Diceros bicornis minor: one gene and its partner. The protein of the gene in region 2 interacts with the protein of the main gene of each other region in a biochemical or structural test. Links are inferred from orthologs where the notes say so. Each region holds a gene or a part of one and is shown on either strand. Other genes may lie near its edges.

What was found.
Region 1: the proteins of SUMO2 (region 2) and MDC1 form a complex in vitro, tested with the Homo sapiens proteins (2 studies listed by BioGRID). The link is inferred for Diceros bicornis minor from reciprocal best matches to the Homo sapiens genes SUMO2 and MDC1.

Annotation. Positions count from the first base shown.
Region 1 is NC_080753.1:34,401,607-34,408,540, forward strand, and holds the start of MDC1 (mediator of DNA damage checkpoint protein 1), read left to right. Parts: upstream 1-3,907; 5' UTR 3,908-4,323; coding exon 4,324-4,326; intron 4,327-6,058; coding exon 6,059-6,197; intron 6,198-6,934. Other genes in the region: TUBB (tubulin beta chain), read right to left, coding at 1,141-1,197. UniProt on the Homo sapiens protein: Histone reader protein required for checkpoint-mediated cell cycle arrest in response to DNA damage within both the S phase and G2/M phases of the cell cycle.
Region 2 is NC_080757.1:55,707,935-55,715,834, forward strand, and holds the start of SUMO2 (small ubiquitin-related modifier 2), read right to left. Parts: upstream 3,106-7,900; 5' UTR 2,992-3,105; coding exon 2,971-2,991; intron 1,379-2,970; coding exon 1,247-1,378; intron 1-1,246. UniProt on the Homo sapiens protein: Ubiquitin-like protein that can be covalently attached to proteins as a monomer or as a lysine-linked polymer.

The sequences.
Region 1 (6,934 bases), on a different chromosome or scaffold from region 2:
CCCCCCCCACGCTGGGCACCGCCCCTCCACGCAGCGCACAAAGAGCCAGGGAGACGCAGAAAGGAGCCGCTGCAGCAGTCGACCACCTCCCGCCCCCCGCCACGTGACTGCGGCGCACGCGCACGCCGAGCAGCCAACAAAGAGGCGCCGAGCGTGGGCGGGGCCGAGGCGCGAATTCCGCGCGCCAGGGGCGGGGCTCGGCTCGGGCTCGCGCGCCCCCGGCCGGCCCTCAGGGCCGCATTGTCCCGGCGCGCCAAGGGGCGCCCGGGCCCCGCCCTTCTGCTACAACGTAGCAGCCGCACTTCCTCCCGCCCCTCCCCCGCTACACTGTAACCGCGCGCAAAAGAAAAAAAAAATCCCCCCTTGGCCTCGAATTTTATTCCTTCGCTTTTCCCCCCTTGCTTTAAATGAGGATCACCTTCCTTTCTCCCATCCTTTAGTCGTAAGGGACCCTTTAAAGAAAACGACCCCCTCCTTTTCTCCCGCCCTCTTTCTCATCTGTTCACTCCCTAAAAGGGTCTCTTTTAAGGGGAAATCAAAGAAAGTAAAATTAATCAAGCACATGTTAGCCTTCCATCCACGAAAAACTACCGGACCGCCCCTCGGGGATCGCGGGCGCGCGGAGAGCCCCGATCTTTTGTGAATGGTAACGCGTAGTGCAACCCAGTGGCCCACCGCGTCCCCCACCTTGGGATCCCAGCTCTCTGCAGCTGCCCGCCCAGCCTCGTCCCTTCCTCCTCCGGCTTAGCCACATAAAGCCCCGCCAAGGGAGATGCACCCGGGGAAAACCTCGCCTCGCTTTGTCTCGGACTGTTTCCGCATGTCCCTCCCTCCCCAGTCTTCAGACCGTTAGGAGATCCTCTTTAAGTAAAAGCTTGCAGAACCTCGGTCTTCCCGCCCCCTAAATCTGAAGGGTGCTTTTAATGGCTTCCCCAAAATGAGCCTGCCAAAAAAAAATCATTCCCCATTTTCTTAAGAGCAAATTCTAGCAACAAATGGGTATTATATATATAAAACTTTTTTTGGCAAAGCTTGGCTAAAGATGAAGAGTGCAAATGTCCTACAACCACTCTTTATCATTTGTCCGGGTTTTTTCCTTCGGAAAAAGAAATATAGTTAAAAGAGGTTTAAAATCCTTACCTTGGCACCGATCTGGTTGCCACATTGACCGGCCTGGATGTGCACGATTTCCCTCATGTTTAAAATTTATTTTAATTCTTTTCCTCGCCTCAAGGTGTGTACGGGGCAAGAAAACGATATGTGGGGTTTTTTTTCTCTGCTGCTGGCCGCAGGCTGGAAGGATGGGACGTGCCCCGGAGGCTGGAGCAGCGAGGTCCGAACGCGGCGGCAGGAAGGTTCTGAGAGGGAGAAAGGAGAGGGGAGGGCGCAGGAGGGAAGGCTGGCAGGGCGGGGCGCGCTTGCGCCGGGGTGGGAAGGCGGGAGAACGCGCTCCGCGCCGCGGTGGGGAGACAAAGCTTCATCGAGGCTGGCCCTGATTAGTCGATGCTGGTCATGTATCAGACGTCCATTGGTCTCTGCGCGAGTGGACGAACGCAGTCAGCTCTGGGAGTTGTAGTCCTCTATTGTTGTCCACGCTGCAAAATGAAGGGACGAATGGGTGGGTACCGGGTTTTTGGTTTTGGACTTTTTTTGTATTTTATGAAAAAATGACCTTGCGTACGATTTCTTTCCTCTATGCCTGAGTTTTTTGTACAAAAAGAGCGTCGTTTTCGGGGATACAGGATTTGGGACCCCTGGAGTGCCAGGCGTTGGAAGGAGTGGGCACGCCCTGAAAGCTCCCCGCGGCGGTAGCTCTTGGGAAGACAGGACTGCTTAGCTCAGCGAAAACTGGGGAGAAATGCGGCACCCTGCTCTGCTATCTAACAGCTGGTCCTTTGGTGACCCAAGGCATGAACTCCAGTAAGCCGCCGCTCCCCCAGATACTCAGGAAGAAGGAGGGGATTGCCCTCCTATTTCTTTGGGAGTTTTCTAATGATAATATTTTGAAAGAGAAACAAAATTGCAACAGGGGCTTTTCAGGATAGAGATGTAATTGTCCGGAGGTTACGTTCAGAGAATAAGTTGAATAGTTTAGAGAAGCTGATATCTGGGATCTGTGAAGCCAGAAGTTTCCTTCCGTGTAGGGGATCTGGGCCTTAGAGCAGCGTTGAAGACACTGTGGTCTTGTCAAACAGAACTATGGGGTGGGATGCCTGATAGAATTTCAGTGTCTTTCCAGCCTTTTTCAGTTCGCTGATTTCACTGACCAGCTGGCTGGCCACTGCAACCTTTCAAGAACCCCAGGATTGAACAAAAGGGGGATAGGGAGGGAGATGGATGGGAGAAAATTGGACGGGCTCAAGTCAGAGCCGCATGTTTCTTCTCAGGCATTAATTCATTTGATAGATACTAAGTGTCCACCAAACCAGGAGCTAGGGATACAAAAACGATTAAAAATTCTCTCCCTGGCCTACCAGGATCTTGCAGTTTCGTGAGAAGTGTATAAACAATGGAGTGTGGTAATACCATAATACAGGACATGTGATATCAAGGTCATCACTGATAATTCACATTGGATTCAACACACATTTCTCAGTCACCTAAATAAAAGAATATCAAGTTGTGTAAGACCCCTCTACCCACTCAAAATAAAATGTTTTATGTTTTAGGGCATGGTCACAATGAAAGTAGTTATTTTGTGGCAGTGGAGAGAGTTCAGAATTTAGAATGAGCGGACGTTTCAATTTCTCTACCTTACATTAGCTGTAGGAACCTAAGCAAGTCATTCACCTTCGCAGAGCTTCAATTCCCTCTGTAAAATCTACTTCTGCCTATTTGATTGCTGTGGTCAGGCTGAAGTGAGATAAAATGCAAAAGGACTTCCTAAATCATACACATGTCAAATTGTTACTATCCTCTTCTGTCTTAGTATGAGATGATGAAATAAATGGTTTTATCATTCTTCTTTAACCCCTTGAAAGACCTCGGTCAGCCTTTAAGATGGTTAGCAAAATAGTTCTTTCTGTTCGCCTAGGGATCTTTGCTTTAGGAAAATGACCTCAAAATGTCTATCAGGGATGTATTCTCAAGGAGGAAATGACATGACTTCTACTAAACAAGCCAAATCAAAAAGAAATGAACTTCCATTGCAATGAGGAGTCCTCAAGCGCCACGCCTACGGGCAGTTCTCCAAACTGCAGCCTCCGGCCACGACTGCAACCCGCAACCCGTTTTCACTTCTCATGAGTCAGCGGACACCATGTCTGGGAGGACTGAGGAAGGGCGCTCTGGCCGCACTAGACGCATCGGGCGACGACTATGGTAAGTCCCTCTATCCGCGCCGGCAACCAGACTCTGTGGTCGCGGTTTGGAAATCTGCGCGGGAAGTGGGCGGTGGGTGGTGAGGCGGTAGTGGGTTGTCCCTCGCAACTGCCCAATCGGAGTGCGCGATTCTGAGCGCGGAGGGCGGCCTCTGCTTACCGCCTCGCACAACGGATCTCAAGCCCCTGAGAGAAGCCGCCCCTTTGAGCGGTGAGGGGGCTGGGCGGGGATGGGGGCGGGGCTATGGATGTGCGTCCGCGTTGGATATTTGATCAATCGGCCTGCCGCAGGACTGTGAAAGACAGCGGCGGGAGCCAATCAGAGAATCGGCTCCCTCCGGGCGCGAGCAGTCGCGCCACCGGCCCGCGGCCGTTACTGGTGGCGCGCGCGGGGACTCAAAGTAGGTGAGTTCTGGGGGGCCTTGCCCACAGCTCCCCGGGTGCCATCTTGGTTCTCCTGGAGGGCGGGAGGGGCGTGCCTTGGGTGCGACTGGGCGGAGGAGATTTGGAAGTTTGCTTCTCGGATTATAATATTCATCTTTACTTGACGCCCCTCCCCGAGTTTAGGTATGAAGACACAGGGAGACGTTAGGCCAGGAGGGAACCCACTGGGATGGGGATCAAAGATGGTGGCCCATTGGATTGGAGCCAAGGGTCATGGGCACCCGCTGAGTTCGCCAGTCTTAATGACGGAGTTGGTACTATCTCCAAGGAGGCGTCCCACTTTCCCTTCCTGTCAACAGTTTCCCTCTAGGGTGGCATCTTGCTAAGTGAGTTCCGTCCCTGCTATTTTGAGTTTTCATCTTTCATTTGTTCTTTCATCAGGAGGGCAGGGTGAATTTTATGTTTCGTTCATGAATATATCCTGAATACTTCGAACGGTACCAGGTGCACAATGACTACTCTTGAAGGAATATGATGGACCCCAGGGGAAAAGACACTTCTGCTGGTCCAGTTCTCGAAGGGATGTGTGAAGGCAGAAAGGGAAAGTAACGGTTACAATATGGTGAGAAGTGTTAGGATAGTTTCAAGTCCTTTCACCATTGTGGAACACGTACGATACACCAGGAACACCAGAAAGCAGGCAAGACTCCAGGAAGGGCTTTGCTAAGGAAGTGACATTTGAACTGAATTGTAAAAGATGGGTAGGAGTTAGACCAGAAAACTAGGAGCAAAGGGCCAAGGAGCTGGATAAGGCATGCAGATGTGGGGGACAACAGGAACAGTGTGTTCAGAGAGTAGGGAGAAGATTCATGTGGTTGAACCATAGGCTTGAGGGGAGGCATACATTGCAGGACATGAAGTTCAGATCATAGAGGGTCTTGCTAAGGAGTTTAGATTTTATGTTATCCTGTGGGCATGGAAAGCCATCAAAGAATATTAAACAGGGGCTGGCCCGGTAGCATAGTGGTTAAGGTGCTCTACTTCGGTGGCCCTGGGTTTGTGGGTTCGGATCCCGGGTGCGGACATACGCACTGCTCATCAAGCCATGCTGTGGCAGGCGTCCCACAAATAAAATAGAGGAAGATTGGCACAGATGTTAGCTCAGGGACCATCTTCCTCAAGCATGAAGAGAAAGATTGGCAACAGATGTTAGCTCAGGGCCAATCTTCCTCACCAAAAAAATATGTGTATGTATTAAACAGGGGAGGGACATGTGGGTGATCTTGGGCATTTTCCTTAACCCATCTATGTTGCAGTTTCTTTATCTGAGAAATAGAAGTTAATAATAACACTTTGTAGGGTTCTTGTGATGATTAAATGAGTCAGTCCATGCAAAGTAACTAGAACAGTGCTTGACACGTAGCAAGCATCTATATATGTCAGCTATTATGATTCTTTGCAGTTAGTCTGATCACACTGAGATGGTCTGGTAAAGGGTAAAAAGCATGGGCTTTGCAGCCAGAAGCACCTTTATTCCTGTCCTTTCCACTTACCTGCTGTTATCTGCAGCAAATTACTTAATATTTTAGCCTTAGATTCCTAAATGCCTGCCTCATATCATTACCATGCCTGACACGTAACACCATGCCTGACAGATAGTTGATGCTTGGCAAAAGTTAGCTCCCTTTAAAATGGTGTATTTCAAACTATGGGTTGCAACCCAATAGTGGATAGTGAAATCAATTTAGTGGGTTGCAAATCAGCATTTGAAAAATAGAGAATAGGGCTGGCCCCGTGGCGTAGCAGGTAAGTGTGCTGGCTCTGCTTCTGGCGGCCCAGGTTCGGATCTCAGGCACACACCAACGCACCGCTTGTCAGGCCATGCTGTGGCGGCGTCCCATATAAAGTGGAGGAAGATAGGCACAGATGTTAGCCCAGGGCCAGTCTTCCTCAGCAAAAACAGGAGGATTGGCATGGATGTTAGCTCAGGGCTGATCTTCCTCACACACAAAAAACAAAAAATTAAAAAAATTAAAAATAGAGAACAGAAAAAAATAGAATGAAGCTATCAGTGTGTTGTATATAGTAAGGCTAGGCAGTTTTTCTCAAAACATTTGTCTGTATAAATAAGCACGTGTGTTTGTATATATTTGGGACCTTATGATATTTATTTCTTATTCTGTATCGTGGTCAAAAATATTTTTTAAATGCTTCAGAAAGATAACCACGGAATGATCGGCGGAAAGAGAAGCATGAACCTCCATAACTATCCAGGTTTACCCCGGTTATCAGTCTTCTCTCTGAGGCTGTGTGTGTGAACCAATAATAGAGATGATGATGTGTTTCCTTCCCAGATTATGGAGGACACTCAGGCTATTGACTGGGAGGCTGAAGAAGAGGAGGAGACAGAGAGACCCAGTGAATCCTTGGGGTGTAACTTGGCGCCCGTAGGGCGACTGCATATCTTCAGTAGTGCCTATGGACCAGAAAAAGGTCAGAGGGTATTGGATGCTGAAGTACTGGTATAGGCCTCTTATTTTTGTAAGGAAGTAGTAGGAGGTTTGCAGGAGGCTTATATATGTTTCAAGGAGATGTGAAAAAATTCTTTTACTGGCAATGGAGAACAGGGGGCTGATTGAGTTAATTGCTCCAGGCAAGTGCCCTGGACTCACCGGAGGTGATTTTACTTTGCTAGAAAATTAAGAGATTCAAATAAAAATCCAGTGTGGTCTGGAAATGGATGGTAGTGATGGTTGCACAACAATGTGAATATACTTAATGCCACTGAACTGTACACTTAGAAATGGTTAGGGCCAGCCCCGTGGCGTAGCGGTTAAGTGCGCAGGCTCAGCTGCTGGCTGCCCGGGTTTGGATCCCGGGCGCGCACCATTGCACCGCTTGTCAGGCCATGCTGTGGCGGCGTCCCATGTAAAGTGGAGGAAGATAGGCACAGATGTTAGCCCAGGGCCAGTCTTCCTCAGCAAAAACAGGAGGATTGGCATGGATGTTAGCTCAGGGCTGATCTTCCTCACAAAAAAAAAAAAAAAAAAGAAATGGTTAAAATGGTAAACCTTATGTATATTTTATCACAATAGAAAAAAATCCCGTGTGGAGGATGAGGTATTGACTATGAATAATATGTTACATATATTCTTCAATATCTAGATGTCCTGGGGCCTTTTATTTGTCTAATGCATGTGGGGACCTTGTGTGAGTAGTGGGGTACTTAA
Region 2 (7,900 bases):
TACAAAATGATTACCTTTTAAAATTCTCCTGTAACCTGAAGGAGAACTAGTGTTCAAATAGGGAAGATTCTAGTGCAAAAATTCTTTAGCACAATTAATAAGTACAAATTTACTGTTAGGAGGATTTCACGAAAATTCTTCAAATAAGAGTATACTGAAAATCTTATCTTTGTAAGGAAGTATAAGAAAGTTTACGAACGAGGACAAAGAATTATAAGCACAGTATTCTCTTATTACATTATAAATAAATTAGGCATAAAATAAAGCTTCAAACTCAAAAAGAAGTTTATATCTTCAGTTTCTTTCAAATGCCCTTAGGTCTCATGGAGGAAGCCCAAGCATCAACTCAACTCAATTTCCCAACTTCTACAGGTTTAAGCTTTATTCTATTTTAAGCCTATTTTTAGGACAATTTCCAACGTAGAGGTGTTTTGGTCTAAAAGAATGATTTTCCCAACTTTTATATATTATACATTCAGAATTGAACAAGAAAAATATTTCTGCAAGGTACTGGATTAACTGATCTAGGAACCAGTGTTTTTGTTATACTTGCAAAAGTCATCTTTAAAGTTGCCTTTGTATTGTTACAGACTCAACATCACAAAAAGAAGTTTCTTTGTCTTGAAGCTTGCATTTACCTCCCAGCATCTGTTCATTTCTACTTCCTCTTCTTGATGTCTATTTACTATTTTCTGAGTAAAATGCAAATGTCCCTATAATATAGGAATGTTTATGCTTGGCCAGGAGGTTAAATTTCTTGACCTCTACTAATAGTGTAAAAAGAAACACTACAATTTTACACACTTCAGGAAAATTGCAATGTCCTTAAACTCACATTTACTTTTATTTCCAAATCGTTTAAAATACTCTAAATTGTTTTGACACAAGACAAACTTTAAATGGATAAAAAAAGAGCCTGACGAAATTTTACCAAGTTCATTCTTATTTTCTTATAAAATTATATCCCCTTGGGAACAAATCACATGCTCTGAATATAATTTGATGCATTTCTGGCATAGGACTAGAATCATAGGTAATATTAATCAAACCATCCTAAGGGTTTTCACGAAGAATCAACATACCAACTGTATGATGAAACTAATATGTCAGGTATATAAATGCATATTCATTCTACCAAAGATAGTCTATTATAATATTACGCTAGTCTAGTTTCTGTTCTCAAGAAAATAAAGTTTGCTTTTTTAAAATAATTTCTATTCAGTGGAAGTGCACGTCAGTTCCTCACCTGTCGTTCACAATAGGCTTTCATTAGTTTACTAAGTGGTGTATGCCTCTTAATCTTAAACTGCACCACAGAACCATCCTGCCCCGCCACCTTCAAATTAATATGATCGTTGTTCTCAGTCTTGACTCCTTCCTGTTGAAAGAAAAATAAAAGTATAATTTGGAAAATGTGAAAAACAAACTCCTTTTAAAGCAGCAGCAGCAGCCCAAGTTGCTTCAGAAATCAACAGGTTTCTCACTCTGTATGATAAATGAGCATACAGCTGTTTTCACTGGCTGAAATCAATCTGAAAGATGAGAAATCCTGGAGCAACAATATTAAACAGCTGTCACAGAAACAGAAAGCAGCCCACATGCAATACTATCGGGGACAACAATCGATTTTTAAAGAGTCCCACTTAATTTACTGCAATGCTTTCTTGCATCTGAATTTCCTAAAATGGCATACTTTATATCACTCTCAAAATATACCTTTCCCCTAAAAAGATTAAAAATAAGTGTCTTTTCTCTTTCAAAGTGCTTCAAGTACAGAATGCAAGGGAAAAAAACCTAGAGCTTGCTATTCAACACTCATTACAAACCTCTTCTTAAAAAGTTACCAAACTCAGTTTAATAAGTTAAATCTCCAACAACATTAAAAAAAATCTAATTGAGGAATATCCTTTCATTGTCTCCGAAGCAGCGGCAATAACTCAGAACCACTATTAATGGTCGCCTCTACTATGAGCAGCTTCGTATTTATTTTTCGTTAAGAGCTCTTCTTCTCCCCTCCCCTTTGTTGTCACGGGTCAAATGCACAGTTTTATTCCAAGTCTTCCTTGTAGATTTAGACCCAATCTGAAGTTTGCCAAAATCAAGTGTAGAAGGAATCCTGTAGCCCCTAAATCACTTCAGAAAGAAGGGAGGGGGTGTCACAAACCAAGCCAAAAGAAAGTCTCGTGTGCCAGGAAGAAGTGTGTGCTCTCGTCCTCCCGGGAGAAGCCTCCCGGTGCCTCAAAACTCAAAAAGTTAAGCCCCACAAAGTCTCTCTGCTTGTACATCTGTCTCCAACTTCTCGAAACCACATGTTCTTCGGAGGTTGGAGGTTACTTGGCACCCAGGGAAAAGCCCCTGCCCAGCCCCCTCGGGGATCCTAAGGCCATCAAGGTGGGAGATACTCCCTGGGAACCCCCCCACCCCCCGGCCCCTCACGCATCCGGCTTCCAACCCATCGGCAGCCCATTGATTCGCCGGAGCCCTCACCGGCCAATGCGGCCAGGGCAGGGGTCCCCAGATGCCCGCGGCCCCCACCCCCGAGGGAGGAAGCCCCAGGCGGAGGGAACTCCCCGCCACCGCGGAGGCGGCAACACCCGCCCCGGGGTCCGCGGAGGGTGGGGACACCGCGCGCCCTAACGCCCCTCCTCACGCGCGCCCGGCCGGCCGGGCCCGAGGAGCCCCGCTCGCGGCCGGTGGGCCCGCGGGCGTCCGCGATCCGCCCGCCCAACTCGCGCTCGGCGCGCACTCTGAGGCTGCCGGGGGCGGGGGAGGGCGGCGGGGCCTCCTCCGGCGCGGGAGGGAGGAAGAGGGGAGGGAGGAAAATGGCGCGGAGCGCCGGGCCTGAGCCGCGGCCGGCCCCATGGGGGGCCCGGGAAGGCGCGGGGAGCCCGCGGCGGGCTCGGGCCGGACCCCAGCCCCCGCCATGACTCCGGCCGCGCGGCGAGGCGAGGAGGCCGGCGCCGAGCTCACCTTGGGCTTTTCGTCGGCCATAGCGAACGCCGGAGTCTCCTCAGCTGCCGCTTCACAAAAGAGGTACCAGGTCCGCACCGAACGAGCACACAAGCAGCACCAGGAGCGGCAGAAGGAGGCGGCAGCGGTGGAGGAGGGAGAGGGCGCGCGCACGTCGTGCGCTCCCTCCCCCCACCCTGCGTGCGCGAGCACGAGCCGCCGGGGCTTTCCATTGGCTGTCGCCTCGCGGGAGCGCGCAACGCTTACATAACCACCCCCGCCCCACCCCCGCCCCGCGCCGCCTGGGTCTGGGCTCGGCGCCCGCCAGGCCGGCGGGAAGAGGCGCGGACACGCGCACCCGGCCCGCGCGGGGGCGCGCGTGGCTCTGGGCGGGGCTGTATTGTCCTCCTTCTGTGGTGGAGCTTAATCAAAATGGCTTCCAGCTGGTTTTCGGTGGGGACGAGAAGGCTTGAGGCCTAGATGTGAGAGACAGGGCAGGGAAGGCAGACTGACTAGACGAGGAAGGGGGAGCCTAAATCAAAGCCCCAGCATAAGGTTCTGGAAAAACCCTCTTGTTCGGTGGCACAAATGCAGTTTTCCCTACGATTAGAGGAACATCACACTTTCTCTCAGTCAGCTTCTCATCCTTTGGATTTTAAAGCTTCAACGTCAACCTGCTTCCCACCAGGCTCTTGCCTCAGTGCAGTGACTACCTCAGTCCTGCTGGTAACCCTCTACTTTGACTAGTTGAGGAAAAATGTTCATCCAACGGACTCCTTACTCATGGCCTGGATCCCAACCTCTGAGAGGAAACAGAATCCATCAGAGAGAACTACCCAATATCAGGCTTCCAAACCAATCAATCATTTCCTCTTTCCTTCTGGTTAAAAAAAAGTAGGTCTCTCCTGTCTTCAGAACAATCCTGACGTCTGTACAGGGGATTCCAACCGCTCCTCTCAGGAGGTTTTATTGATTATTTCCTTTGTCCCTGTATTTTCTTCCACTCTTCTGTTGCACAGAAATAGTCTCTCTCTCAAGATTCTCTCTCAATTCTATTTCCTTCTTAAGTTACCACCATATCTTTCTCCATTCTTGGCCAAACATCTTGAAAAAATGTCCATGCCAGCTGTCTCCACTCCCTCACCTCCCACTCACTCCATAATCTTCTGCAATCTGGTGCTGTCCTGGTAGCTCCACTAAAACTGCTCTCTACAAGGTCACCACAGACTTATTTGCTGAATCCAGTATGCTTCCCAGTTCATCACTCCTCTTGAACTCCCTCCCTGTGACTTCGGGTTGTGACTCTGGCCTGTCCTTGATCCCTTTGCAATTTTTTTCTTCCTCAGCCCTTCCCTTAAATGTTCCTTGGGTTTTGTTCTATATCCTTTTCTCTTATCATTCTATTCCCTCTCCTGGGATGATTTCACCCACTTCCATTACTATCTATTTGCTAATGATTCTCAAATCTATATTTCTAGTCCAGATCTTTCTCTGAGCTTCCAATCTATAAATCCAACTGACTTCTGAACATCTCCACTTGGATGTCTCAGAGGCACTGCAAACTACAAATCTCAACTAAAATGTCTCAGTTTACCTTCCTCAATCTGCCCCTCTCTATCAAGGTGCCGGTTCACTGAATGCCACACCATTACAACATTGCTCCAAGCCAGAAAGCCAGGGGGCATCCTAGACTCCTTCCTCTCCTTCACACCCTCCCCATACAATCAATCTTCAAGTCTTGTCTATTCCACCTTCTAAATACCTACCAAATCTGTTTACTTCTCTTCAGCCTCTGTCTAGTCGCTGGGCTAGGCTGCATTTGCTGGGCTTCCAGCTGGTCCTCCATGGGGAAGAGGAGGCTTAAGGCCTTAGATGTAAGACAGGCCAAGGAAGGCAGATTGAGGCAGGGAGGTAGAGGAATCCTAGGTTCAAGTCAGCTCTCCCTAGGGCTACTACAGTAGCATCCTAAGTGATCTTTATGTTTTAAGGGATGTCCCACTTGTGCCAGAATATTTAAGTGAATCAGTATCATCTAGGGTGCTGGTTTAAGTGCGTATTCTTGGGCAGTGTGGCTCTGGGATCACACTTTATTAACAAACTTCCCTGGTGATTCTTAAACACACTAAAGTCTGAGAACCGCAAACCATTCTAAAATAAAAACAAAATAAGTTTCCACCACTCTTTGGTTAAGTGGCAATCTTGTACCCTATAGGATGAAGTCCACAATTCTTATAAGACCTACAAAGCCCTTTGAGAACTAATCCAAGCTAACCATTCTAGCTCTTTCTCATCATTTCTCCTGGAAGCCTCTGCTTCAGTCATATTTAATTACTCAGGGTTCCCGAATGTGCCTGCTCTCTCAACTCTAAGCTTCTGTCCATTGTAGGTGCTCAAAGATTCACTGAATGAATGAATAACTGAAACTATCATTATGTGTAAAGTCCTGTGCTAGGCCTTGGGCAGACAAAGAAATGTAGACAAAGTTGCTGACTCAAATAACTTATAATTTGGTGGCGGGGGGCGGGGGGGGGGTTAAGTAGGAAATACACAAGAAGTGAAAGGGAAAGAGAACCAACTGCCATGTGTCAGGCACCGCGTGGGGCTTTATTAATATTAGCTCATTTTTTCCTTACACCAACCCTTCCAAGTGAGTGTAGTATTTATTTACAACTGAGGCTCAGAGGAGTTAAGTAACTTGCCAATATCACACAGCTGGGAAGTAGTGTTGATTGAGCTTCTACTGCATGTTGGGTGCTGTCCAGGTACTGTAGAAAAAGGAAAAGAGATGCTATCCTTACTCTCCTGAACCCAGGTCTTCTGTTGCCATCATATACCTTCCAGCCTTGTAGGACTGCAGAACCATCAAAGAGGAATACAGCATGTTAAACTTACCCTCATTGATATGTGGGGGTCTCCAATAATAAAATGGTTGTTTAGGCATTAGCTTCAGGGTGACAGGTGTGTCCTACAGTATCCCCCCTCCAAAATTATGCTAAATTATAAAATCACCTTCAGGCAAAGGAGGAGTTCGTATAAGAAGTAGTTAAGCACGTTCAAATGTGTGAGCAATATATATTCCAATGACAGAGTGGAATTTTGTGAGCTGAGCCCATTGTATACTGAGAGTCTCTTTCCAATTTCCAGGAAACAAATTGTGAACAGATAGAAATTTTTCAACATTAAGTTTCTCCCTCCATCATTTTTAAAGGGGTGGGAAAGGGAGTGGATGTGCACTGGAAAAGAGTGCTTTGGGAAAAAAAGTACAAAGAGTAGTGTATATAGAAAAGAAGAACAGTGGCAGACATTAATTGAGTGCTTATTATTTGGGGATTCTGTGCTAAGCCCTTAATCCTCACAAAGACTCTATTATTATTATCCTCATTTTACAGATGAAGAAAGTGAAACATAGAGAGATTGGGCAACTTTGTCACCCAGCTTGAAGTGGCAGAGCCAGTATCATATTGAACTCAGGCTTTCCGACTCAGATCCCAGTGCTTAATTACTGTAGGACTGCACACAGGATCCTATGGAAGGCTGCAGAGAGAAAATACATGGAAAAAAAAATCCTAGGGGCCGGCCCCCTGGCTTAGCGGTTAAGTGTACGCGCTTCGCCACTGGCGGCCTGGGTTCGGATCCCGGGCACGCACCCATGCACCGCTTGTCCGGCCATGCTGAGGTGCTGTCCCATACAGCAACTAAGAAGGATGTGCAACTATAACATACAATTATCTACTGGGGCTTTGGGGAGAAAAAGGGAAAGAAAAAGGAGGAGGATTGGCAATAGATGTTAGCTCAGGACCAGTCTTCCTCAGCAAAAAGAGGAGGATTGGGGTGGATGTTAGCTCAAGGCTGATTTTTTTTTTTTCTTTTTTGTGAGGAGGACCAGCCCTGAGCTAACATCCAATGCCAATCCTCCTCTTTTTTGCTGAGGAAGACTGGCCCTGGGCTAACATCTGTGCGCATCTTCTTCTACTTTATATGGGACGCCGCCACAGCATGGTTTAACAAGCGGTGTGTCGGTGCGCGCCCGGGATCCAAACCGGCGAACCCCGGGCCGCCACAGCTGAGCGCGCGCACTTAACTACTTGCACCACCGGGCTGGCCCCTCAAGGCTGATCTTCTTAAAAAAAAAAAAAAAAAATCCTAGAATAGTGCCGGGAGCATCAGTCAGGTTGTTTTGACCTAAATTTTTGTTTGGTTGTCTCTCTCAGCAGAATGGAAGTTCCATGAAAGCAGAGACCTGTCGGTCTTGTTTACAGTTTTATTCCCAGCACCTAGCTCAGTTCCTGGATCCTAATAGGCAAGTGAAGGAATGAATGAGGGAGTTGTGCAGTGAGCAGTTTTCACCATTAGGAGTGGACTAGGAACTTGGTAAGAAAGGCCTAATTCCTCTAGAAATCTAATTAAATATCAATAATTGGTGTTAGAATTAGAAATAGAGCATAAGAATAGGGTGAACCAGCCAAGATGTACTCATCAGGGTCAAGTGCCAAAGGAAAAACACCATTCCAAAAAGGGGCAAGAAAAAAAGAATCAAAGAAAGTCTGTTTAGGGGCCGGCCCATAGCGTAGCGGTTAAGTGCGCATGCTCCGCTGCTGGTGGCCCAGGTTCGGATCCTGGGCATGCACCGACGCACTGCTTGTCAGGCCATGCTGTGGTGGGGTCCCATATAAAGCGGAGGAAGATGGGCACAGATGTTAGCCCAGGGCCAGTCTTCCTCAGCAAAAAAAAGAGGAGGATTGGGATGGATGTTAGCTCAGGGCTGATCTTCCTCACACACACACACAAAAAGTCTGTTTAGAGCTTTATTTTTTTTAATAATAATTTTATTTATTTATTTTTTCCCCCAAAGCCCCAGTAGATAGTTGTATGTCATAGCTGCACATCCTTCTAGTTGCTATATGTGGGACTTGGCCTCAGCATGGCCGGAGAAGTGGTGCGTCGGTGCGCG